7 linked regions of the Canis lupus familiaris genome follow. The protein of the gene in region 5 interacts with the protein of the main gene of each other region in a pairwise test. Links are inferred from orthologs where the notes say so. Each region holds a gene or a part of one and is shown on either strand. Other genes may lie near its edges.

Region 1 (4,102 bases), on a different chromosome or scaffold from region 5:
TAGAGAGTAATGATTCAAACCCAGGTCCCCAGCACCTAACCATTTGAGACACATGGAATGGTAAGTACTATTGTACCTCGGAGATAATAATAGGCTAGAACTCTGAAATCCTACATGAATGTTCAGAAGGACTATCCTTAAGTAGGTTAGTGATCCTAAAATGAAGAACTAGTGAAAATTCTGATCACAGAAGGAAACAATCAGTATTTTCTTCAGGGCAAGGGGGGCTATTTTTCCTTCTCTTTCGGTTTCTACCCAGGTACAAGGATACAAGTGACAACTCAGATTCGTAAGTAACTTACCCACCTTCTGACTAGTCTGGAATTAGCCCTCTAACTAACTGGAAGGGCCTTTGAAAACAAACTGATCAGAATCCTGAAGCCTTAAAGCACTGAACAGGGCTTAGTTTCAAGCTTAAATGAAAAGGAGAAATTTCAATAAGTCAAAGAAACATTATACTCGAATAGCAGAATAATCGATATTGACAGAAGAAACATAGGGAGGATTTTAAAGTGCCTACTTACTTTATTTGAACAAGTTCTCTTTATTAAAAAGTATAATCGAAAGTTTATCCTTAGCTACCTGAGCCAGTTCTACTCTTTTTTTTTTTTTTTAAGTATATATAATTAAGAAGAAATACACACCACTGTTAACCATGCCTATTTGGAAAACTGCCTATCATAAAGATCAGAGAACCACAGGAACCCCCCTATTCATTTGTTTAGCAGATACACCCCCAGTACAAACTTATTGTTCCTTTATGATTTGGGGTTTGCAAGGTTACTATTAAGTGTCACAAAGTCCAAAAGAATAACTCTTTTTGAATAATGGTAAACCACGAATCAAATCCCTATGTGAAGAGGAATATCCAGTAACTCTTCCTTGGTAAAAGTACCCCCTTGTTGAAGAACCGGCAGAGAAACTGACATCAACAGACCGAATTTCACACTCCCAACATTTCCATACCTTAGCCCCTGTGGCACACAACACCTCTCAAGTTAAGGAGAAATGACACCGTCAAATGCTAACAGTATTACATACAGCTCAGTACTCAGTCACTTAGGGAAAGTTGGGAGGATCCAGTGAAAACAAAATTCCCTGAATGTAGATCAACCTCTTTACCAAACCCTGCAGTGGGCTTAGGGTCTACATATATCACAGCTCAAAAACATTTTAACATTCATTTTTCATACGGGAAGTCAGTATTCTTGGCTAAGCGATAGCTAGAAAGGCCTAAAAGCCAAGGATGAAAGAGCTGCCTTAAATCAAGACCCCATATTAACAGAACACGAACAAAGCTTTCAAATTCATAGGTCTACGCCTATATAGATTTTCCGCATATACATAAAAGTCATTTAGAAGTTACGGGACGCCTGGGTGGCTCAGCGGTTGAGTGTCACCAGCCTTTGGCTCGGGGCGTGATCCCGGGGTCCTGGGATCGAGTCCCATATGGGGCTCTTTGCGTGGAGGCTGCTTCTCCTTCTGCCTCTCTCTCTGTCATGAATAAATAAAAATCTTTAATTAAAAAGAAAGAAAGAAAGAAAGAAAAAGTTAAGTGTGTGTTTTAGAAAGGCCACAGAGCTTCTGGCAAAGTCGACAAGTTCTAACCTGCTTTAAGAATCACTACTCAGGGCAGCCCGGGGTGGCTCGGCGGTTTAGCGCCGCCTTCAGCCCAGGGCGTGACCCCGGGGTCCTGGGATCGGGTCTCACGTCGGGCTCCCTTCTCCCTCAGCGTTGGTCTCTGCCCCTCTCTGTGGGTCTCTCATGAATAAATAAGTAAAATCTTAAAAAAAAAAAAAAAAAAAAAAGACTACTCACTGTCTTCACCCCAATCTAATTTCATTGAACGTAATTCTCCCGGGTGACCCCACGAAAACAAAACCCCCGAGCAGATCCTCGCACACCTCCACATCCTGCCTCCTTCTAAGGGCGGAAGAGCCCGACAGAGCAGGGGAAGAAACGTGACGCGCACAACCTCGGTCCAAAACACCGCTCGCCGTGGTCTAATTTTAGGCCTAACCGTTCCGATGCGTTTTCGCCAAAGAGGCTAAAAAGAAAACGAGTGCAGGTAACGCGCGGAGGGGAACCCGAGCAGCCACACCGACGGGAGCGGGCAGGACCCGCCGAGGCGGAAAGCGACGGCGCGGCGGGCGGCGGGGAGCGGCGGGCTGAGGCCAAGGCGCGAGGAGGGCGCAGCCCCGCGCCGCCCGCCCGCCCGCCCGCCGCGGGGGCGACTGCAGCTGAGGGACGCGGTCAAAAGGTCGCGCCCGCCGACGGCCCCGCGGCCACGTCGCGGGCGTGCGGTGGTGTTTTGGAGGCAGCCACGCGCGGGGAAGGGCCAACCTTGACCCAGATCACCGGGAGCCGCTGAGGATCCGGGGGCTCGGGAGGCCGGCGAGGCCCGCACGCGCTCCGACACCGAGGCGTCCGCACCGACGCGCACTCGCCGAGGCCTGAGGGGGACGCGGAGGTGCGCGGCGGCGGGAGGGCGCCCGCGAGCGGGCAGGGCCGGCGCCAGAGGAGCCGGGCCGCGCCTGCCCAGCGAGCTTCCCCCGCCGGCTGCCGCCGAGCGAAACCGCCCTCGGGAGCGGACAATGAGCCGCCGCCCCAGGCCCGCGGCTCCGGGCGCGCAGGTGGCGGCCGCCGGCAGGCCGCGGAGGACGGGGAGCGCGCCCCGGCCGCCCTGCACTTACCCGGGCGCCGAGAGGTCCCCGCCCCAGCGAGGCGCCGCGTCCCAACTCCCGGCGGGCTCCGGAGCCGCCCCGGGCAAGCGCCGGCGCGGGGCGGGCGGGGAGGCCAGGCGGCGCAGGAGCGCGGCCGCGGCGAGCGTAGGCCGGGCGGCAGCCGAGCCCCCGGGCGCCGGGCGGGGAGGCAGAGAGCCTTCGGCAATGGCGACGGGCCGGGCCGGAGGGGAAGCGGAACAGCCGCCGCCGCCGCGCGTGGCCAGGCCTGGGGGAGGGCGCCGGCGGGGCGGGGGCGGGGCCAGGACACCGCCCCTCGCCGGCCGGGCCCTGAGCTCCAGGGGCGGAGACCCGCCCCCCGCGGCCGGGGGCTCGCGCGGGGGCTGCCGGGAGTTGTAGTTCGGACGCGCAGCCCGCTCGCCTCGCTTTCCCTCGCGCTCTTTTTTTCTTCTTGGCGGCGGAGGGCGTGGCGGGGGGGGGCGGTGTTCTTTGAATTGAAAAAGAGAATCATGCCCCTCGTTTAATTTAGCGTTGTCTCCATTCTAGTCTGCGCCAAAGACGCTGACCCACACACTGCTATGTGAATCTGTTTCAGGACTCTTATTTCTGGAAATTCATCCCTTATCCATTTTGCATTTTATTTACAAGCTCTTACTATGTTTTGCTGCTAAAATCCCACCTCCTTGAAAATTAAGGCCTTCATTTTTTTTTTTTAAGAATTTATTTATTCATGACAGACACAAAGAGAGGCAGAGACACAAGCAGAGGGAGAAGCAGGCTCCATGCAGGGAGCACGACGTGGGACTCGATCCCGGGACTCCAGGACCACGCCCTGGGCCGAAAGCAGCGCCAAACCAGCTGAGCCACCCGGGCTGCCCGGCCTTCATGTTTTATCGAAGGAGGAGTTCATTAATGTATTCACTAATTCTACAAACACTTGAGCATCTAAAACGTATGATATTAAGGCATCAAGGATACAGGGTGAACATGAGTCACTTTGCCTTTGTAGAGCTTAGAAATATGCAAGCACAATAATTAAACTAATGATATCTGGTATGAGAAGATAACTAGGGAGATTATTTTGGATTGGGCGGCCAGAGAAATAATCTTTAGGGAGGCAACATTTAAGCTGAGAACAGGAGAGAGACAGGAGACACTCCTAGGAGATAGCATTACAGACAGAAGGAAGAAGAAAAGGGCTTGCTTGCTATGATCAGTTAAGACGAACTGTGAAGCTTGAGCTCGGTGCAAGAGTAGTGTACTGTGAAAAAACACTAGAGTAGACAAGATTCAGGTCAAGGAGGATCTTGAATGCCATGCTAACGAGTTTGGACTATTACAGCGTTTCAAGCAGGAAAGTGAAGTTATCTGACTTATACTTTAAGATCAATAGATTGCTTGGTGGAAAATGTAGTATACAG
Region 2 (3,500 bases), on a different chromosome or scaffold from region 5:
TGGAGACTGCCGCCCAGCACTGCTTCACGACCTTAAGTCGCAGACACATATAATCTCATTGCATCAAAACAGGAGTAATCCTGTTGCAGCAGAATCCACCATGGTTGTGCAGATCCAACCATACAGTTGAATTTCATACTTCCACCCTTAGATAGTCACTCTTAGGTAGTCCATCTTTAGAGGAGGTAGTTGGTTAAACGAATGCTCAGTTACATCTCACATATGCATTCAGCTATGATATTGCTGTCTGATTTCAGAAAGGGCAAAAAAACCATTTGAGCAAGGGGGGAAAACCCATTTGGGCCATACTTACTTTTTGACTATGTTAGTTCTTCTGTTTGTTTGTTTAAATTAATTAAGTAGGCTCCAAGCCCAACACGGAGCCCAATGCATGGCTTGAACTCATGACCCTGAGATCAAGACCCGAGCAGAGATCCCAAGTCAGTGGCTTAATGGACTGAGCCACCCAGGTGTCCCAACTGTGTTCGTTCCTCGTAAGCAGACTCTTCATCATCTCCTCTCTACTCTTAAGTACGGTTTTCCCGTCGTTTGTGTATGTCGATGGCTCTTAACAAAATGATAGCATGCTTCCAAAAAGCAAATGGATTTGGAACTCTTCCTTGTTATGTTTATATTAGGCTTTATTTTAAAGGCAAGTGAGACCGCTTCAAATAAACCAACTCCAAGCTTCCAAGAAACAGTTAAGAAGGCAGAGACAAGCAGAAATACCCCTTCAGTAACACTCACACGGTTGCCATGGCCCTGCATAAGCAGTGGGAGAACACAGAGACCGACTGGCACAAGGAAAAGATGGAACTGCTGGACCAGTTTGACAACGAAAGGAAGGAATGGGAGAGTCAATGGAAAATCATGCAGAAGAAGATAGAGGAGGTACAGATTGATTTGTTTTGACTACATTGACACTTAAAGCTCAGAATGAAAATTCCATTTGAAATTTGTCTTGTATTGGAAACCATTTCTGTTTTCCTCGTTCTGCCTCAGGAAGGCATGTCTCAATGACATTCGCTAGACCAAAAATAGCAGAACCTTATCCAGGGGTATTGAAGGGAGTAGGCCTTTTTTTTTTTTTTTTTTTTTTTTTTTTTTTTTTTTTTTTTTTGATAGCCCGGTATGAAAATGAAGAACTTAAAATGTCCTTCTAAAATGTATCAGTTTATCATGTTTTGACTAAAGTGCCTTGGTATCAAAAGTGGGGAACGTATTTTGCATGAGCTTCAAGCACGAGGCCCAAGAGGAAAATGTAAGAAAAACATAACCGGTGGGATGTATATTAGCAAAATTACAACTGGGCATTAAAATACAGATCTTTTCCTGAGATGATTTATGAATCATGTCTACTAAAGGAAATTACGTATTAGATCACTCGGTGCAATCAAAAGGAGTGTCGTATATCAGAATGGTGGTGGACATGATATTTATTCTGGCAAAATGTGCCACATTTATTGGCGCATTTGTTAGGAAAGGGGTTATGAAAAACAATGTGCCAGGGCTCTGATACAAATAGTCATTTTGTCTCCATTAACCATCCCTCAGCCCTGGAATATTTTCTTGAAGTATTCACATTGATGTATCTTTGAGCTGGTTTCAACTGAAAATTATTTATATTTATCTTGCTTGCCTCCAGTGACATTCATGTTGGGACATGGTTTGTGCACATTGCCAAAGTGATTCTTTAAACAGACTCCTTGGCCTTTTTTCACAGACAATCAAAGCTGGTGCTTTATGTGTTTATAGTGCAAATATTTTTCTTATTAACAGCCGTGTAATCGGTTGTGAACAAAATGTCAATTGGCACACTGCAAGGAAAAATTTAAAAAGAGTAACTGTTAAACTGTTCCATGTTACGGAGCTGAGGAGGCAGGCATGTAGTGTATGAGAATCCCCTGCTCGTACCTCTCTGGTTTGGAAATGTGTTTTGCTTACTCATGTAACTCCTTCACCTACAGACTAAGGGGGGATTAACAGGGAGATATCTATGTCAAGTCAGAATCCAAAGCTCAGGGGTCATTGGTTCCCAAAGGTTTGGAAGGCCAGATAATTCTGGCATCCGAGCCAAAAAAATTAAAGGAGTCAGGATTAGTCTGACCAATTGTTTAAGCCATGTGGCTAAAATAATCTGCTGCTTAAATCCTGTGTTGTCAAATAGCTATGCTGACAACCCCGTAGATTCTATCTATGGTAAATATCCGCCTTTTCGATTCGCAGGCATTAAACGTATCTTAAACATAGGATGGTAGTTTGTAGAAGTGCTCTTCCTTTCTGCATCGGGGAGGTAGAGGGCTGTAAGATTTTTTTCCTCATCTTGAATAGTAGCCACGGTGCTTTCTAGGTCTCTAGTAATATACAGCTCCCTCCAGCCCTGGGAGTGTGTCTGGATAAGGTGCTTCCCCAGAATACCCATAGATGATGCTCCGTAATTCCTGAACACTGGCCTCGTGCTCCTCTTATCATCCGAGTACATAGCTCTTTTCTCCTCACAGCTTTGTAGCCTATAAGAACGTACTTCTAACACGCCTGTCTAATAGGCTACAAACGAGGGTAGGAGAATTTGAAAAAAACGGGAGGAAAGTACCCTCCCATGTCACAGAGAATCAAGACATTTTTTTCCAACTGAAATTAAACACCAACGCACAAAAAATTATAAAATGCTGCAAGCAGAATAGACTGTATTTGCCTAATATATATCGCTAAGGCCTGTATATGGACTCAGACACAGATTAGTAAGCCGTGTACTAGGGAATTATAGATTCCTGCAGGTGCGCGTGTAACTTGACTCCAAGTGGTATCTTCCAGGGAGATCCAGTGTCAAGTGTTAAGATGCTAATGATCCTTCGCTCAGCCACCATCCACAATCATTGCATTTGCTATTGCGAAACCTGGATGTACGTACTTGGATTATTTGAAACCTGGAGTAATCTGGATAGAAACCCTAGAGTTCTTAGGTTTCTAGCAATTTTCTTTTTATCACATTGCAGTCTTTTCTGCTTGTCACCTTTGTTCAAATGATAACCACTGACAAGTGCTAGGTATGAAGTAACACATTTTCTTATACAAAATAAATCTGTTTTCCATCAATAGCATTATATTATTTGCTTATCCATACCTCACTTAAATCTCCCAGAGAATTTAAGATGGTATATAAAATTTTACATAAGGTGAAGTATTTCAAAATAAAACAACAACAACAACGAAGGTGAGATGAAGACAGGAGGAAGGAACTTATGAGAATTGCATGTAGCAAGTCTGTCTTTCCAGGAACGACCGTGAAAATCAGCAGATGCATATTTCTCAATATTCAGAAGACAAAGGCAAACCTGTTTCCCAGGAATAGCACTTTTGTCCCCGATTTTGAAAATGAAGCAATTTTGTTTTCACCCATCACGCCTCAAAAAGAGGACAATGTCACCATAAGCACCCTTAGATTTAAGATGGACTTTTGAGAGTTGCTCCTTAGAGAATCTCCCAAGGTCAGCCCAAAC
Region 3 (3,500 bases), on a different chromosome or scaffold from region 5:
TCCTGAAAGACCCTAAATATTTTAACGATGGCAAACATAATAACCCATGACTAAAGATACTTGTCCAATCCAAATTTTGTTTTACTTGCAGAGAATGGCAAATCTGTTCATTGGAAACTGGGAGCCGATAAGGAAGTCTGGGTGTGGGTGATGGGTGAACACCATCTAGATAAACCCTACGATGTGCTCTGCAACGAAATCATTGCTGAGAGGGCCCAGCTGAAAGCAGAGCGGGAAGCGGAAGAGCTCAGGTACGAGATCTGTAAACCAGTGAGAGGCTGGCCACATATAAAATCATACAAAGGGGGGGGAAGGGAATAAAAATAAATAAAATAAAATCATACAAAGATTCCTCTTTTTCCCAGTATCTGCAGGGTGAGTAGATTGGGGCCTGAGAGTCACAAAAGTAACTTTAAATCCCTCTGGCAAGTTTCTTTATACTTTTCATGGTTCCCTTCATTCCCACAATGTGATCACATTAACCATTTTACCTCCTCACTTGTCATCCCAGTTTTGATCTGGATGTGGTTCCCCCATGATCAACTGGCTTCACTAGAATCATGCTGGAGCACCGCAGGCTGGCACAGCTGAGCATCGGAATATAAGTGAGAGGTGCAACATTGTTCAAGCTTTGGGCCTTCAAACAAGATTGGTTAGAGAGGGCAGGCCTCTGGGTGCTTACATGTGCCAGGTGGTAGGGATTCAAAGGTGAACGACAAGCTACCAGTCTAGGAGAAGAAACAGGCCAGTACACGATTAACTTCAGTCAGGACGGGCTGTGATTCATGCTACAACTAAGTTATAAACAGAGCATTAACTGAGCCCATTATTCCAAACCACAATAGAAGTGAAATCTGAATTGAACCTTGAAAGATAAGTAGAGTTTTCCAGCCGCAGAATGTCAGGAAGGAGATGGCAGGGAGAGGACATGATGAAGACCCCTAGTTTTGAATGTGTATGGTTCTTTGAGTGACAATGAGTTCTTCCAAGTGTTTGGGGGTATACATGAGCAAGTAGCAGGAGACAGAGGGCTGTGCTCTGAAGTGCCTTGGAAGCCAGATTTAGGACTTTGGACCTTATTCTGTGGACGGTGGAGGTGTTTGAATAAGGGAGTGACGTGATCAATCAGAGATATAGGATAACTCAGCTGGTAGTGGTGAGGCAGATGATAGATCTATCCCCTCTGCTAGGGGCCAAGGTGGCTTCTGTGAAGCCTCTTATCCCTTGAGTATTGACAGCCCTATCTGAGCTTATGAGATAGACAGCAGACATATGGACCTCAGTTCAGGTCCCGAGGGCTAGTGATGCTGCCCATCAATTCCTATAACTAAAACTATAAATGGGCATACAGAGATAAAGTAGTTATGTGCTGCTCATCATAGGAAGGCAGGGTGCTCTAGCAGACTAGCTTCTGAACAGAAGTTGGGCAGACCTGGGTTCAAATCCTGGCTGTGCCACTATGTGGTCTTGGATAAATAATACAATTATTTTGAGCCTCTTGCAATCAAGCAAGGATAACACAACCCCTTCCTTATAGGGTTATTATGAGGATTAATTAATGCATTTTCTTTTTTAAAGGTTTTGTTTATTTATTAGAGAGAGCACTCACGCAAGCAGGAGGAGGGAGAGAGACAAGCAGACACTGCACTGAGCACGGAGCCCAAAGCAGGTCTTGATCTCATGACTCTGAGGTCATGACCTGAGTCAGAATCAAGAGTCAGACACTTAACCAATTGAGCCACCAGGTGCTCCTAAATTAATGTCTTTAAATACTAGCAAAGGGCTTAACATATTATAAGCACTTAGTAAATGGTAGCTGTTAGTGTTTTTCACATAATTTGAATGTAGGCATCTGCTTTGGAAAAGCTGTCTGTGTTGGAGAATGTTTTTTATAATTCCACATTTGTTTCTCTTCAGAAAAACTCAGTCCAAAGAATTTGCCAATAGCTTGAAAATGAAATCACAATATTATGATCTGCAAGCACCAGATACCCAGGAGACTCACAGTATCTGTAAGAAAGCTGCAGAAGAAGAGGAGCTGGGGAAAGGCTCTCGACCATCACCATCCCTTGAAGAAGAGAAAATCCCAGTGAGTCTTTCATATGTGTAAACATGAGAATTTCATAACCAGAGGAGTTAGAGATATTGGGACACTGAGATGAATGTAGCTGAACAACAGGATCTCAAACGTTTCTTGGAAGAATCCCTCCCAACTTGAAGGTCCTGGTGTTCATTTCATTTTGGGGAATTTGGCTCACCTGCTACTTCACACCCCCTTTTTTCATGAGACTGAAGGCATAAAGAAAGAACTCCAGGAATAAAGTTTTACATTTTAAGATATTTTCAGGGTTTATTTTTCCCTGATATATTGTCTTCTATAACAGAGGTGGGCAACTTTTTTGTATGTGTGAAGGGACAGATGGTAAATACTTGAGGCTTCGTAGACCATACGGTCTGTCACAACTACCCAAGTGAATAGGTGAGGCTCTGTTGTGGTAAAACCTTACTCACCAAGACAGGGCCAGGTTGGCACCCAGGCTAACTGACCCCAGGCCCAGGACGCTGACATTTTTGTGATGTTTGGCTTCACAGACCTTGCCTGTGACTGTGGGGACCATTATTTCCTCAACACAATAGAACTTTACAATCAGAGTTGGTGTGAATTCTCTTGTGTGTCAGTTGGTTTAAAGAGCTCAGACATCATTTGCTGCTTAGATTATAGTTTGGAAGAACAATAAAACTATATTAATGAAGTACCTTCTTCTGCCAGGAATTTAATTAAACTAAGAATTCACAGGGGATTTGTAGTTTGACTTGCATTCAGGTCCCCAGCTCCATGACACTAGGCGCGTGGCTCTTGACCTCCATGAGGCTCTCAGACAGGGCTACAGTCATCTGTTCTTCCTACTTCATGGGCATATTATGTGGCAAGGCACACTGCTGAATGTCTCATTTAATTCTCTCAATGACCTTTTTTTCCTAGGGACTGTATTTGTCCATTTTATAGGTAAGAAAACAGGATTAGAGATGCCCAAGGTCTCATAGTTGACTGAACTGGGATTCAAACAGAGGTCTGCAGGACCACTAGGTCATTCCTTAACTATTGCATTTGATTGTCTTTTTAAATGAGGAATGTGAAGAGGCTTTATAAAGGGCTGCAAATATGAGGCTCGAAATATGTAGGGGCATAAAATTCTAAAATTTGGTTTATATCCCAGGGTCAGAACTGGGTCCTTTCCTCACATCTGCTGCTTTGTACTCCACACTTAATACCAAATTCCCTCCTTTTCTAGCACCCCTAAAATGAGAAACAAAACAGCAAGATCAAAAAACCTCCTTCAAAAGCATCGAGTATCCATGCTTATCCTTGTGCTTGAATTATAGTATTTCCATAGAAAAAAAAATGTTTTCAAAAGCAGGACAAAAGATTAAAGTAGAAGTTAAAGTAAATACCATGGCTATTATTTTGCTATATCATCAATATTACAGGGATTGTATTT
Region 4 (4,139 bases), on a different chromosome or scaffold from region 5:
CAAGGTGGACATGGGCCTCACCCATCTGGGGGGGGGGGCACTCTTTGGGGAGAGGGGCAGATAATAAGCTGAAACACAAATGAATAAATAAGATGACCGCAGAAGGTGGCTCCTGCCCTGAGAAAAATCAGGCAAGGTGATACCCAATGAGTACGCAATTAGCCGCTAATTAGCCTCATCTCAGACCCCGGAAAGCCAGTGGAGAAACAAGTCCACTTGACCACGCCGTGGGCGCAGAGGCCGGGTGGCTCACGGAGGGGAGAGGGCACTGGGCCGAGAACGAGGAGGCAACCCCACCCACTCCTTAGGCAGTGCAGGACCTTAGGAGGCCATGACTCCCCTGAGGCCCCCCTAATCTCCTTCTGCACAGTGGGGATGGGACAGGATCATCTTTTTCTTCATTTGCTGCTTGCCCAGATCCTAGGGTGACCCAGCCTCCTGGCTCCCACAGAGTCCATCCTGTGTCCTGTGGGAGGCAGAGGCTGGGCAGGGGGAGAGGATCCTGCCCCCTTTCTGAGGCCAATTCTCCAAAGGAGAGGAGGCTGGATTCCTGAAATGACTGCCCCTGATCCAGCAGCCCCTGTAAGGGTTTCGGGGGGAGGGATCTTCCATCAGGCAGATGGGACCCTGGCCCTGGGCTGAGGGCTTCTCAGTAGGAAACCTTGCTCCGACAGGAGTGAAGGAATTCTCAGAGAATGTTCCTCTGTTTTCTGTCACTCCTTAGAGCCCTGAGAGGCCAGCCCAAGGAGCAGGAATGGGAGCAACCATCGGATCCACTATCCCTCTTGGTATCCTCCTTCCCACTTGGGACTCTGTACTTTGAACGGCTCAGAAGTCTGACACTTGGCTTCTGAGGCTCCTCTCTCCAGGGAGGAGGCAGGAGAAGGGGGAGGAGCAGTTTGGCCTGAGAAAATCCCAGAAGGCATCCTCAGTACACTCCTTGGGTTTGGGGGCTTATGGATATTCCCAGGAATAATGATACTGACAGTCAACAGAGATTGGGGCTTTTCAGTTGACCAGTCACAATGCTGGCACGTGAGCCCTTTATCACCCAATTCAATTCTCGCAGCTACCTTTAAATAAATACACAATTACCCTAAAAGATTATAAAGGTATATAAAGTATTGTTCTCACTGCTTTACAGGTGTAGAAACTGATGCTGTATCCCTGGCCCTCCTGGACCTCCTGGCCCTGAGTTTTAAATTTTCACAGCCCCCAGGAAGGGAGGGTTACTTTGAAACACTGCACATGCCATTCACGCAGTGCACCCCACTTTGCAGAACCCATGTCTCCCAGTTCCAGCCTCCCAGCAGCCCTATAAGCTGGAACGTGGCATAGTTTGCTTCATTTTACAGATGGAAAACCTCTGTCCGAGCCCAGCGGGCCAGAAAGCACAGACAGGAAGTGGCAGGGGCAAGGAGGATCCAAGCGTCAACATTCTCGGTCCCTGGTTCTTTCCATGGAGAAACCGGCCTGGGTGACCCCTCCCAGTGGCCAGCTATGTTGACTCTCTGGGGCAGGACCAGAGCACACCAGGCCCTACGCCAGAGGGTTTGCAATAAAGCCACTCCTTTCTGTTTGTGTCCAGCTTCCAGGCACACAAGTCCTTGATGATTAGCCCATTTTACAGATAAGCAGCGGGAGGCTCAGGGGGTTGGAGTGGCCCCCAGGCCACCGGTTCCCACCCAGGTCTCCCAAAGCTGCTCGGGAGACTGGCCACCGGCAGGCTGCAGCTGCTGAAGGTTACAAAGGGGTTCCTCCTCCCATTACTGAAGCCGTGGGTGCCCCAAGGAATGGAAAAAGCCTTCCACCCATGGGTGACAGCCCACACCCGGAGGCAGGCAAAAACAACAAAGGCCGCTCTTAATTCTCCCAGATGCCTTGCCGGTGTCACTTCCCCGGATACATAACGGGGCTGGGAGAATCACAGGCAGCAGGACGAGCCCTCAACTGGCTACCAGAGCTCTGGGGTCCAGCCCCACTTGTGATCCTGCGCACATCACGGCCCCCTTCGAAGCAGCCCCTCTCCGAGGGGCTCGTCCACGGAGGGCGCGGAGGGCGGGGCTGGGGGATCCGGCGGGGTGCGAGGAGGGGGTAAGGCACCTCTATTCTCGGAACGCAAAGGAAGCAGGAGCCTTGCTCTTTCTTTCTCCCCTTGTCCCCCCCACCCCACCCCCTTAACCACACAGGTGCCAGACAGCTTTGGCGAAAAAACTAGTTTGCAAACACTCTTCGACTTCTGGGAAGCTGCCCGGCTCCGCTCCCTCTTCCAGGGCTGGGAGCTGGCTCCCAGGCTGTGGGCGGCGGCGGGGATCCTGGGGGTTGAAAGCAGGGTGCGGGGGCCCCCCGAGCCAGCCCGACCTCAAGTCTTCGGCAGCTCCGACCGTGGCGGAGGCTCTACCTTCCCAACGCCCCCAGGCTCCCTGCGGGAAAGGCAGGCGAGTCCCCCAACGGCTGGGCTGGGCTCGGACCCGAGCGGCGCCACCCTGCTCCCGCACCTCCCCGCTTTGCCCCCGGCGGTCGGGGCGCAGCCGGAGCGCCCCCGCGTGGCCGGGTCGCAGCTGAGTCACCCCGCTGGGGGCGCGCGGGGGGCGGGGGCTTGGGGCGCCACGGCCCCCGCGGCGGGACCCCGCTTCCTCCCGGCCCGCCACCGCGCCAGAAGCCGAGCCCCAAGGCCGAACTTAGCGCTCGCGCCAGGGCGCCCCCCCCGCTCCCGCCCCGGGCCGCCCGGGCCCCACTCACCGCGGGTCCCGCGGGCGCCGCCGCCCTCACGGCGCCGCCGCCTCTGCCGCTGCCCGCGCTCCGGGCCGCCGGGGCATCCCGGGGCGCTCCTCTGCTCGGCGGGGCCCGCGGGCGCGGGACGGGCTCAGGGTGCTGCCCGCGCGGCCCTCGCCAGCTCGCGTGCGCTCCGGCCGCTCGGGGTCCGCGCTCCTCCGGGCGGCGGCGGCGGCGGCGGCGGCGGCTCGGCTCCTCCCTCCGGCCGAGAGGGGGCGGGGGTGCGGAGGGAGTGGGGAGGCGAGGCGGGCGCTTCCTGGCGGGGCGAGCGCTCCCGCGGGCGGCGCGGAGGCGCTGTCCCGCCCGCCGCCCCGGCTCCGAGCCCGCGGCTGGCGCGCCCTGGCGCTCGGGGCTCTCGGGGCCGGATCCCGGGGTCCGAGCGCTCGAGGCCCGAATCCGAGGGTCCGATCGCTCGAGGCTGGGACTCCGGATGCGGCGCCGCTGCTTCGCACCCTCCCGGCGGGCCTCGCCGCAACCGCGGGCGCCTGCGAGGTCCGGGCACCGTGCGCCCCGGGCCGCGGACGCGGGACCCGAAGGTGGGCTCAGCCGGGGCCTGGGGGACCCCAGCGCGCTGCCTGCGGCCTCGAGCCCCGGGGCCTGCGCCGCGCCCTCGGGGGTACAGCGCAGGGCAAGGTTCGGCCGTGTTGACCAGCACTAGGACCGCAGTGTTCCCCCCACCCCCAATGGTAAAAGAGCTCGGCATTTTCTAGTCGCCAGACACTGGGAAGATGACACAGATTTCTCTGACAGAGATGATAAGATAAAGACAGTTTCAACACTGCCTGGAGCTAGGTAGCGGGAGCATAATTAAGGGGGGCCTTGAGGCCCTGGCATCGAGCCCACCTCTTCCTGCGAAGGCCTTCTTTTACCCTAGAAGAAGCATCAGTTCTTAAGAAATGCATCTGTCGCCGGGGCTCCTGCTGCAGACCACCCAGCGGTGTTTATGTGCACACACACGCCTCCAATTCATGGCTTCGGAGGGCTTTTAACCAGGTTGTGGGGGATCTCACGGCCCTGTCCCAAAGCCCTTGTCTCTGTGGCTCCAAGACCAGGAGGCACTTGGGTTGTGGTTTTTCCATTCCAGGTAGGAGAGGGTTAACTAGGAGACTCACACTGCAGCCTGTGAACCTCCCTCCAGTCTGAGTCACAGGCACTTTGCAGCCTTAGAGGGGCAACCACTAAAAACCCCAGGGCTCTGAGCTTTGTTTTCTGCCTGCCTATCCCCCAGCCCATCCTTCCCTTCCTCCAAGCTCTCCTCGCCTTTCCTCCATCGAGTCTTCAAAGCCCTCAGCCCAGCTCTGAGGCAAACCAGTCAGATCCAGCTCCAGCCCCACCTCCCCCAGGAAGCCTTGCTGGATTGATCT
Region 5 (3,500 bases):
GGGAGACCACTCCTCCGTGGGGTGCAGAGACATGTGGGGTGGGGGTGGGGTGGAGAGAGAAGGGCGCTTACTTGGGGGACTGTGCCTGGAAGTCAAACTTGAGTCTGGCAGCTTTCCTCTGGGCAGGGGGAGAGGACAGAGGCAGGCACCTTAGTCAAGCAGGTGGCAGGTCCAGAACAGCCAACAGGAGATCCATCCTGGATCCCCATGCACTCTGGTCCGAGTAGCTCCCATCCCTGCTTACCTTCTTCTCTTCCTTCCTGACTGGGCTGGCCCCGCGTTCAGTGGCCTTAGGGTCTGTGGAAAAGCGCGACCTCAGCTGGGGAAGGCCACGTCTGGGGGGCGGGGTTGGGAAGGGGTTCTGCTCCCCCCACCCCAGGACATGGACCAGTGGAAGCAGGGTGCTCTATGACCGCCCGCTCCCCACAACCCCACAGCAGGGGGGGGGGCACGGTGGCAGGCCTCCAGGTGAGAAAAAGTGCAGGATCCAGTGCTTACCTCGGGCCGACGAAGGGTAGACAAAGTCCCTACGACCTAGGAAGGGGCTCGCTCCATCCGCCATTCTGTGGGGGCTCAGAGGCCGGGAGGAACCCTGGTAAAGTGCATTCGGGGAGCTGGTGCTCCAGGCGGAGGCCGGGCTGCGCGGGGACGCGGCGCGTGAGCCACCTGTCGGGGCCTCGCACCGCAGCCACTCACCCCGGCCGCCCGGATGCGTCCCCCCTCCCGCCGCCCCCAAGGCGTCTCCCCGTCCCGGGCTCGCCGCAGGATGTCCTACTTCCCCCGCAGCCCCGGCAGGACAGGGTGCGGCCCGGGCCGCGGGGGGCGGGAGCGCGCGTGGGAAGCGCGAGGCTCCCCCGGGCGCGGGCCGCGGCCCCCCAGGCCCTGCGCGGGGACCGGGGACGGGGACGGGGACCGGGGAGGGGGACGGGGACGGGGACCGGGACGGGGACCGACCCCTGCGCGGCCGCCCGCCCGCCGCCAGGCCCCTCCTCCGCGCCCTCGCCCGGCTCCCCCCGCCCCGCGCCACGTCCCCCGCGCCCCGCCCGGCCGCGAACTCACCGCGCTGGGGGCCGCGGCTCCCGGGACCGTCGGGGCGCCTGGGAGCTCTGTGCGGGGACACGGGGCGCGGTCAGGGCCCGGGGCGCCGGGTTCCCGCGGCAGCCGAGGCCGCCGCCTCCGGAAAAGTTTGCGGCTCGGCCGCAGGAGGGGTGGGGAGGGCAGGGGAGGGGCGGGAGGGGCGGAGGGACGCGGGGTCCTAGAGTCGGCCGCGCAGGAACCCGGGAGGAACAACGCGGGGGGGCGGGGGCGGGGGCGGGGGCGGGGCGGAAGAGTGGAGGCCGGCCCAGGAAACCCGGCCCGGGTAGGTGGGGGTCCCTGCGGACAGGGGGGGCGGGGGCCCCCAGCACCCCGCACCCCGCCGGCCGGCTGACGTGGAGTCGCCTGGAAGGGTTCTTAGGGGTCACTTGGAAAAGTCAACGCCCTGCATTTTATACAGGAGACAGCAGTCCGGGATGAAGTCCGTCCAAGGTCGTGCCGAGCGCGCCGGGGGCGACACCTCCGCTTTGCCTGCCCCTCCCGCCCACGCTCGGAGGCCGTGCGGGGGACTCCGGGTCATCCGGGAGGGGACTGGGGGGCCGGTACCTTCGGGGACGGCTGCCGGGTCTCAATGGCCCGCAGGTCCTTGTCCAGCTCCGCACTCAGCTTGGCCAGCTCTCTCTCCAGCAAGACCTGGGGGCGGATTTATGGGGAGAGACCCGGGCAGCGGGGCGCGGCGGAGGGGTGGAGGGCACGGTGGGGGAGCACTGGTCGCAGGTCAGATGTGAGAAACCCAGGGGGCGGCAGGACGAAGCAAAGCACACTGTGCCTGGGTAAAGGGCAGGCTCGGGGCACAGGGCCAGGCCAGGCTCCCTGCCTGTGGGCCTGCCCAGAGCTGTGTCTCAGGGTGTCAGGATGGCCCATCCACAGCTCCTCGCTGGCCCCTCCCATCTGACCTGGCTCACCCATCCCTACTCCCATGATAGTACCTTAGTACTTCCTGTTGGTGCCTTTTGTCCGTTCACTTCCCTGTTCCAGAGCCTATAGAGCTCCCTATTTCCTCCCTCACCAAGTTGCCGGCGGCTTTCCACAGCCTGTGCTCCACCGGCTTTCCCTCCTTTGCTTCTGCATCTCCCTCACACTGAGCTGGCTGTCTGCCAGAACCAAGCCCTCCCAACTCTTGAGACCTCAGCTCCACCTCCAAGAATACTTCCTGACAAGTCCACACTGACCACTCCTTTCTCTGCTGCTGCTCTGGTCAGGGGACATGTATTCAACACATCTTTGTGGGCAGACTGTATGCCAGGCACTGTCCCAGGTGCTGGGGATACAGAGGCAAACTGTATGGGACTGGAGAGGGTCAGAGCTTTGGGTCTCTGTTTTTGCCCATGGTAACTGGGGCTAACACCACCCCAAAGTCTCCCTCACTCATCCCCCTGCATAGCTGTCTCCCTCCTCCTCCAACCTGTCCTGCAGGACTCACCTCAATGGGCTGGGAGGGCTTCTCAACAGGGTCATCCACTAGTGGTTTCTTGGGCTAAAGGTGGGAAGGGTGAGTCAGAGGGGGTGAACTCACTTTCCAAAATGCACTAGCTAAAGAGTATCTTCACTCTTAGAGGGCCAGGAGGACACTTACCTTCTGTCCAGTTTCTAGTTCTTGCAGAAACTGGTTCCAAGAATCTTCCGTCCAGACATTGTCTGCTTTCTCTTGGCGTTTGGGTACCTGCATGGAAGTAGGTGGGCATCAGCTTAAGCAGAGGGGTACCAGGACACTGTCCAGGCTCAAAAAGCAGGCTTGTAGGCCCCTGCCTCACCTCTATGCCTGCCAGTGCCCTCCTAAGGATTCTGGGCTCTCCTGGCTACATAGGACAGGCCCCAAACTGAAAGGGCATTCATTATCTGTGCTCTTCAGCAGAGGTGTCTGGCCCAAGAGCACAGCAGTGAGGAGAGGATGCCGGGCAGGCTACCTGCTTTGGGGTCTGGTGTAAGGAGGAGGGTGCTCCAGGATTACAGTTGAAGGTACTTCTAGGAAACTCTTCGGAGGGGTTCCAGCTTCTTCTAAAGAAAGGGGAGGACATCTCTTCAAGTTTCCTTTTAGGGAGACTGAGGCATGAGTGAGAACACCACCATCCCCATCCCCCTGCACTATGGGTTCCAGCCTGCGAAAGCACTGTTACATCGAGGAGTTATGAGCTCTAAGTTCAGATGACAGCTCCACCACTTAGCTGTGACCTGTTGGTGAGTTACAGAGCTCTCAGAGCCTCAGATTCAATACCTGTAATATGAGGAGGAGACCCACCTTCATGAGAGTGTGGTGAAGCTCAGGTGAGGGAACACATGTGAGGCACCCAGGAGAAGGCCTAACACATGCATCTGTTCCATGAGTGGCCAGTCCCTTCCCACTGGTTTTGGTGAAATACGCTACATTTGTGTTCAGTCTGAACCCACGCTGTGGCTATGTATGT
Region 6 (2,741 bases), on a different chromosome or scaffold from region 5:
GAGACTCCCTGCCATAGATTTCCATTTTTCATTTGCTCCAGAGTGTGTTCTGGGACCGCCAGTGGTTTCCAGGCTTCTGTGTGCTCCCGCCCTTGTTTACCCACAGCATTTTCCACTGGCAGGGCAGTGAATGTGTGGACAAAGGACATGGAGGGGGCCTGGGCCTGGGCCTGTCCCCTGACCCTATGGCTTCCTCCCTAGGAAGCTGTGAAGCCAGTGCTTTCGCACTCGCCCCATCCCCAAGGCCCGCCTCAGGTCCTGTTCTCCTGCGCTGATGTGGGTCTCCGCCTCCTCGCCCCACTGATGCCCTTCCTGGCTGAAGAGCTCTGGCAGAGGCTGCCACCCAGGCCTGGCAGCAACTCTGCCCCTAGCATCTCTGTTGCTCCCTACCCCACCACCCATAGCTTGGTGAGTGACATATCCCTGACGTCTGTGAATGGGACCGTTGGTGAACAGCTGGGGCGCCGGCTTCTCAAAGGGTGTGGTGCCCTGGGGTCATCAACAGTCTTGGTGTGGACTTTAATATAGAGTCTTCAGGGAGGTGAGTAGTTCTTGCAGGGATGTGTTGGGGGCAGCGTACAAGAGCAGAACTACATTGCTATGTGGCTGTGCCTCAGTTTGCCATCTTTAACCAGGGGTAGTAATAGTTCATGTCACAGTTATGATAAGGATAGGATGGCCCCCAAATATCTGCAATTTTAAGCTTTAATAATTTCAGAAGAATAAATGCTGACCAACTCACCCCCAAAATTATTTTAAAGTTGACCTGTTTAAATTTTCTTATGCTTGTTCGGTTTTGTGAGTAACACAGTTGAAATTCTAATTTCCTTTTGGTTGTTTGACATCTTTGATCAGAGCAGTTAACAGACATCAACCACAGATATCTGTTAAGATCTTAGATGTGCCCCAGGTTGTGCTTGAGGTGGTGAATTGTGTGTAGTGGAGACTGGGGTAGGCAGGTGTGGGCTGGAGCCAGGAGGGTTGATAGTGAGTTTCCCCGGATCCTGCTTGTCAGCTCTGGGTCTTTGTCTCTAGGAGCACTGGCGCCAGCCTGCGCTGGAACAACACTTCTCTCAGGTCCAGGAGGCTGTGCAGGTACTGAGGGCCCTCCGAGCCACGTACCAGCTCACCAAGGCCCGGCCCCGAGGTGAGATGGGCCCTAGGTTCCTGAGGCCCTGTGGCAAGAAGGGGTTGGCAGAGGCACGGTGCGAGCCTGGGGGGCAGAGCCCAGAGTTAGGAGGGGCAGGATGGGAAGAGAAGCAAGGTCTCATGCTTTGACCCTGACAGTGGCCCTTTCCTCCTCAGTACTGCTGCAGAGCTCAGAGCCTGGAGAGCTGAGCCTCTTCAAGCCCTTCCTGGAGCCCTTGGCCACACTGGGCCACTGTGGGGCCGTGGGCCTGTTACCCCCAGGTGTAGCGGCACCCTCCGGCTGGGCTCAGGCCCCCCTCAGTGACACCATTCAGGTGTACATGGAGCTACAGGTGCTGAGAGGAGATTGGAAGGGGAAGGGAGACATCGAACGGATGTCAGGAGGAGGGCAAGGGGCGGGTTCTGTAAAAGTGAGAAAGACTCCTGAAAATGGGGTGAGGGAGGTACTGGACGGGCTGTGGGTGAAGCAGAGATGCAGGTGGCACAGAGAAGGCTGAGCCCTCACTGTTCTTCCACAGGGCCTGGTGGACCCCCAGGCCCATCTGGCTCTGCTAGCTGCCCGAAGACGCAAGTTGCAGAAGCAGCTGGATGGCCTCATGGCCTGGACCCCATCAGGGGGAGAGGAAGAGACTAAGAGGCAGCAGAGGGTAAGGCTGGGGGAAGCCTGACTCCCTGAGGGAACGTGGGCTGGAGAGGGTGGGCCTTATATCAGAATCTTCACCTGCTTCTCTTCCCGTCTAGCTTTCTTCCCTCCAGCTGGAGTTGTCAAAGCTGGACAAGGCAGCCTCTCACCTCCGGCAGCTGACGGATGCATGTCCCAGCCCCAAGGAGCTCTGAGCACCAGTTCATTAACCCTGGGGGTTTTCTTCTCCCTCAGACCTGCCTTTGGGACAAACCGATCTGGCAGCGTCAGAGCATGATGGGTCCTCTGAGACCATGCGGCTCACCTCCCTCATTTTGTAAAATGAGGAAACAGACTGGCTTGGTCAGCATCACTGGGTGTCTTTAAGATGTTCACATTCCTGCCCAGCCTTCCTCCTAGGCAGTGCCACCTGGAAGTTTAGGAATGAGATAAACTTTTAAAATCTCAAACATTATGGCCTGTGGTCCTTTTATCCATCTTTCCCTTTGTGGTGACTTTCTTGCCTCTCAATTCTTTTTTTTTTTTTTTTAAAGATTTTGTTTATTTATTCATGAGAGACAGAGAGGCAGAGTCACAGGCAGAGGGAGGAGCAGGCTCCCCACGGGAGCCCGATGTGGAACTCAATCCTGGGACCCCAGGGTCACGCCCTGAGCTGAAGGCAGACACCTAACCGCTGGTCCTGCTTCTCAATTCTTCCCTGAGACTTTGGTCTTAGCCTTGGGCTCTGGGCTGCAGTGGGAGTGTAGGAGCTGGCGGTGCCTGCCTCATTGGAAGAAAGAGCTTCCAGTAGGGTCTGGCCGCAGTGACTCGGGTTCTACCTACTTCGAATTATTGACGGTGCCTTGGCTTCTGCAGGCCCTTCCTCCTCACCAAATGGAAGCTCCTCTGTTCCTTGGTCTTATCTTGGGGGGATGCTGGAGAAGAGCAGGTACTTCTCTAGCCCCGAGGA
Region 7 (4,076 bases), on a different chromosome or scaffold from region 5:
AAAATGAGGGACACCTGGGTGGCTCAGTCTTTAGGTGTCCAACTCTTGATTTTGGTTCAGGTCATAATCTCAGGGTCATAGGATGTAGCCTCACAGCCAGCTAGCACTTGGTGGGTGGGAAGTCTGCTTCTCTCCTTCCTCTGACCCACACCCTTACCCTGCCCACTCCTCCTCTTAAAATAAAGAAATCTTAAAAAAAAAATAAAATGAAATCTTTTATTCATTCATTTAAATTCTATCCATATCAGCTAAAAGGTTCTATTGGAAACATAACTCATGAAAGAGCATAGTCCCTTGCCTGCCCTCAGGAGCTTACATTCTTGGTGGGGGAGACAAGAAAACAAAGACAGTTACAGGAAGTGGAAAATGCTATGAAACAGAGTGGTGTGATGGAGGAGGATGGAGAGAGAGATACATTTCGACAGGTTTGGTAGGCAAAGCCGTTCTTAAAATGCGGCGTTAAAGTCAAGGACCAGGGCAGCCCGGGGGGCTCAGTGGTTTAGCGCTCCCTTCAGCCAAGGGTGTGATCCTAGAGACCTGGGATCGAGTCCCATGTCGGGCTCCCTGCATGGAGCATGCTTCACCCTCTGCCTATGTCTCTGCCTCTCTCTCTCTCTCATGAATAAATAAATAAAATCTTAAAAAAATAAAAATTAAAAATAAAGCCAAGGACCTCGAGGATCGTAAGAAGCCACCAAGTAGTAAGAAATACTTGAGTATTTCAGGAGAAAACAAAGAACTAAAATGTCACTAGGAATGTAGTCTACAAGTAGGAGGTGAGTTTGGAGAAGAGACTAGAATAGCAGGACCTTGAAGAATGGGGTAAGAAGACTATATTTTATTCCAAGTGGACATGGTTGATGGCATATAGATGAGAAGCAGAGAAATTTGATATAGGGATGCCTGGGTGGCTCGGCGGTTGAGCGTCTGCCTCTGGCTCACGCTGTGATCCTGGGTCCTGGGATCAAGTCCCACATTGGGCTCCCTGCATGGAGCCGGCTTTTCCCTCTGCCTGTGTCTCTGCCTCTCTCTCTCTCTCTCTCTCTCAAATAAATAAATAAAATCTTAAAAAAAAAATGGAATTTGATACATTTTGGAGGTGGAACTAACAGGATTTGCTGACGGAGGAAAAAAAAAAAAAACAAATGTAGGGTTAATGCCTAGGTTTTCTGACTTGTTCAAATGCATAGATGATAGGTCCATTTCCTAGGACGGGAGACCAAGGAAAGACCGAAGAGGAGAAAGGAAGGAAAGGGACATGGCCATACTTTTATTTTGGACAAGTAAAATTTGAGATGCCTATAAGATATCCAAATAGGGATGTCAGGCAAAGAGTGGGGTGTTCAAGAGTGGCACTCAAAAACCAAGTCTGGCAAGAAATATAAATCTAAAGGTTATCAGAATATAAATTATATTTAAAGCCACAAGAAAGGGGATCCCTGGGTGGCGCAGCGGTTTGGCGCCTGCCTTTGGCCCAGGGCGCGATCCTAGAGACCCAGGATCGAATCCCACGTCAGGCTCCCGGTGCATGGAGCCTGCTTCTCCCTCTGCCTGTGTCTCTGCCTCTCTCTCTCTCTCTCACTGTGTGCCTATCATTAAAAAAAAAAAAAAAAAAAAAAGCCACAAGAAAGGAATTTAAGGAGTATCTACTGTTGTGACTTTTTGGAACACAAATAATAACACTTGAGCAACTAGGGATTAAATGGTCATTAACTATGTCCCAGAACACTGTTCTAGTTACTGACATATATTAAGCCAATTTTAATCCTCAAAACAACCGAAATGAGGAACATAAATGTAAAGATTAACTTAACCAATACCATTCAGCTAATTTTAAATTTTTTCTTTAATGATTTTACTTACTTATTCATGAGAGACCCACAGAGCGAGAGGCAGAGACACAGGCAGAGGGAGAAGCGGGCTCCATGTGGGGAGGCTGATGCGGGACTCGATCCCAGGACCTGAGCCGAAGGCAGATGCTCAACCACTGAGCCACCCAGGCGCCTCTTATTCAGGTGGGACTCAAACCCACGCCGTCTGGCTCCAGGAGTGTGCTTTTACCTCCTCTGGTTACACCCGTCAAACAGAGACCGGATAGAAAGATGCCTAAACCCCAATCCCGAGGCCCTCCAACAGGCACAGACGGGGAAAGGGGAAGCCAACATAAGACATGTTCATCCCCACTCCACGGCTTCACCGGCTCACAAGTGGCTATAAAGTCAATCTCCACTTGGGAAGTTACGGATGTCAGACCCAGGCAGAGAAGCAATGAAGTTTACCTCACCTTCCAAAAGCCGTGGATTCCTAGATCCTTCTTGATACCTGCCTTCCCCTATGTGTCTTCCAAACGACTCTTTCTCCAAATCTAAGCGTCTCGTGACAAGACCCCAAGAATCTGTCACACACACACCCCTAGCCTGTTCCCTAAGTCCTCAACCCCCACGATGGGTGGCAGAGAAAGTTGTCGCGCCTCCCCACAAACAGTGAAGATGAAAGAGAAAGGTTTTCGGGGAAAAAAACTCTGTCCCAGTCTCACGAGGCCCCAGGGAGAGGCTGCCAAGCAGCGCGTCTGGCGGGACAGGACGAAGAACCGAGGTCCCCACGTGGACCCGGCGAAACGGAAGCCCACTCACCAAGCCATCTATCTGCACTTGCTTCACGGCCGAATCTCCGGACCCGCCTTTGCCTTTGCCTTTCCCCGCCGGGCCGGTGGTGGAGCTGGAAGAAGTGGCAGCGGAGCCGGCGCCTTCCTTGCGGGACGCCATCTTTTCAGCCGGACAGGAAAAAAGAGAAACGTGAGTGGCCGGAAGCGGAAGTACGAACTCCACGTGACGTCACGAGCAGCCCGGCGCCCGGGGGGCGGAGCGGGAGGAGAGGCTGGCGCGGGGCCCCGCCTCCCTCCGCTCGTCCGGCTCCCACGCTTCCGCCAGGGAACGCCTTTGCGCATGTGCGAAGTGCGTTTGCGGCTTCTTGCTCCGCAAAAGCTTTCTAAGACACAGGTAGACTTTTAAAGATGTTTCCCACCTCACGTTTAGTCAGTCTCCATGAGTCAGTTGGCCGTAACAGCGTTATAGCTCTCATGCAGGTAGCGTCTCGCCTGAAAACGATTTCACTTTTAATTTTTTTTTTAATGAAGACATTCTTTCCGTCTTTCCAAATTTTGCCTGTTGCTTATTTTTGAAATGTTTACCCCTTCAAGAGATGTCTATGCAGAACTGATAATTCCCAAATTGATTTTCCCTAGACCCCTCCACCGAAGTCCACACCGGCATGTCCATCTGCCTATGCAACTTCTCTACTTAAATGTTCCACATGGACTAACAACCCAGACTTTCCAAAACTGAACTCCAAATACCACCTCCCTCCATAGTCTTCCTCATCTCATTTGATGACAGCTCAATTCTTCCAGTTTATTAGACCAAAAACCCTAGAGTCATCTTTGACTTCTCTGTTTCCCTCACACCCCTGCAGCCAACCCTAGCTCAGACTCTACAAGAAAGGGAATTCTAGGAAGTATGATTCCAGCTTAGCAAAGTTGACATAGTACAAATCCACCCAATTATAGGCTGTCGAAAAGAAACTCATTTCAAACATAGTAATATAGGCATACTGAAAGTGAAATGATGGAAAATATATCATGCAAACATTACGCCAAAGAATGCAGCAGTGGCTATATTATTAATATCAGATAAAGGAGAATTTGGAGCAAAGAAAACCACCAGAGACAGAGAGAGACATTATATAATGATAAATTGGCCAATCACCAAAAACACATAGTAATTCTAAATGTGTATTCCCTAGCAACAAAGCTGAGCTTCTGTAAAGAAAAAACTCCTGGAACTCAAAGACAAATAGACATATACACAGTCATAGTTTAAGACATCAACTCCCCTCTTTCAACAATTAACAGAACAACTAGAGAAAAAATCATCAAAAATATAAAAGAACTCAGCAATACCATCAACAGGATCTAATCAACATTTATAAAAACATTCCACCCAACAACAGAATACACATTTGTTTCATTATTTTCAAATGCCCATGGAAGGTATAAACCGTATCCTGAGCCATGAACA

Evidence for each region.
Region 1: the proteins of SORBS3 (region 5) and PAK2 interact in binary tests that used the Homo sapiens proteins (3 or more experiments, as listed by UniProt). The two-hybrid records come from large-scale screens. The link is inferred for Canis lupus familiaris from reciprocal best matches to the Homo sapiens genes SORBS3 and PAK2.
Region 2: the proteins of SORBS3 (region 5) and KIAA0408 interact in binary tests that used the Homo sapiens proteins (3 or more experiments, as listed by UniProt). The two-hybrid records come from large-scale screens. The link is inferred for Canis lupus familiaris from reciprocal best matches to the Homo sapiens genes SORBS3 and KIAA0408.
Region 3: the proteins of SORBS3 (region 5) and SH2D4A interact in binary tests that used the Homo sapiens proteins (3 or more experiments, as listed by UniProt). The two-hybrid records come from large-scale screens. The link is inferred for Canis lupus familiaris from reciprocal best matches to the Homo sapiens genes SORBS3 and SH2D4A.
Region 4: the proteins of SORBS3 (region 5) and CPNE2 interact in binary tests that used the Homo sapiens proteins (3 or more experiments, as listed by UniProt). The two-hybrid records come from large-scale screens. The link is inferred for Canis lupus familiaris from reciprocal best matches to the Homo sapiens genes SORBS3 and CPNE2.
Region 6: the proteins of SORBS3 (region 5) and VARS2 interact in binary tests that used the Homo sapiens proteins (3 or more experiments, as listed by UniProt). The two-hybrid records come from large-scale screens. The link is inferred for Canis lupus familiaris from reciprocal best matches to the Homo sapiens genes SORBS3 and VARS2.
Region 7: the proteins of SORBS3 (region 5) and EIF3H interact in binary tests that used the Homo sapiens proteins (3 or more experiments, as listed by UniProt). The two-hybrid records come from large-scale screens. The link is inferred for Canis lupus familiaris from reciprocal best matches to the Homo sapiens genes SORBS3 and EIF3H.

The regions. Positions count from the first base shown.
Region 1 is NC_049254.1:30,472,215-30,476,316, reverse strand, and holds the start of PAK2 (serine/threonine-protein kinase PAK 2), read right to left. Parts: upstream 2,801-4,102; 5' UTR 2,694-2,800; intron 1-2,693. UniProt on the Homo sapiens protein: Serine/threonine protein kinase that plays a role in a variety of different signaling pathways including cytoskeleton regulation, cell motility, cell cycle progression, apoptosis or proliferation.
Region 2 is NC_049222.1:66,700,209-66,703,708, reverse strand, and holds part of KIAA0408 (uncharacterized protein KIAA0408 homolog), read left to right. Parts: intron 1-652; 5' UTR 653-756; coding exon 757-891; intron 892-3,500.
Region 3 is NC_049237.1:22,892,425-22,895,924, forward strand, and holds part of SH2D4A (SH2 domain-containing protein 4A), read left to right. Parts: intron 1-91; coding exon 92-251; intron 252-1,917; coding exon 1,918-2,089; intron 2,090-3,500. UniProt on the Homo sapiens protein: Inhibits estrogen-induced cell proliferation by competing with PLCG for binding to ESR1, blocking the effect of estrogen on PLCG and repressing estrogen-induced proliferation. May play a role in T-cell development and function.
Region 4 is NC_049223.1:58,540,464-58,544,602, forward strand, and holds the start of CPNE2 (copine-2), read right to left. Parts: upstream 2,801-4,139; 5' UTR 2,743-2,800; intron 1-2,742.
Region 5 is NC_049246.1:34,875,055-34,878,554, forward strand, and holds part of SORBS3 (vinexin), read right to left. Parts: intron 3,094-3,500; coding exon 3,003-3,093; intron 2,759-3,002; coding exon 2,672-2,758; intron 2,573-2,671; coding exon 2,519-2,572; intron 1,729-2,518; coding exon 1,642-1,728; intron 1,107-1,641; coding exon 1,060-1,106; intron 974-1,059; exon of another isoform or gene 955-973; intron 639-954; coding exon 499-638; intron 298-498; coding exon 245-297; intron 119-244; coding exon 72-118; intron 1-71. UniProt on the Homo sapiens protein: Vinexin alpha isoform promotes up-regulation of actin stress fiber formation. Vinexin beta isoform plays a role in cell spreading and enhances the activation of JNK/SAPK in response to EGF stimulation by using its third SH3 domain.
Region 6 is NC_049233.1:831,961-834,701, forward strand, and holds the end of VARS2 (valine--tRNA ligase, mitochondrial), read left to right. Parts: intron 1-201; coding exon 202-408; intron 409-1,035; coding exon 1,036-1,147; intron 1,148-1,305; coding exon 1,306-1,481; intron 1,482-1,667; coding exon 1,668-1,796; intron 1,797-1,890; coding exon 1,891-1,986; 3' UTR 1,987-2,241; downstream 2,242-2,741. UniProt on the Homo sapiens protein: Catalyzes the attachment of valine to tRNA(Val) in a two-step reaction: valine is first activated by ATP to form Val-AMP and then transferred to the acceptor end of tRNA(Val).
Region 7 is NC_049234.1:16,572,273-16,576,348, forward strand, and holds the start of EIF3H (eukaryotic translation initiation factor 3 subunit H), read right to left. Parts: upstream 2,801-4,076; 5' UTR 2,766-2,800; coding exon 2,634-2,765; intron 1-2,633.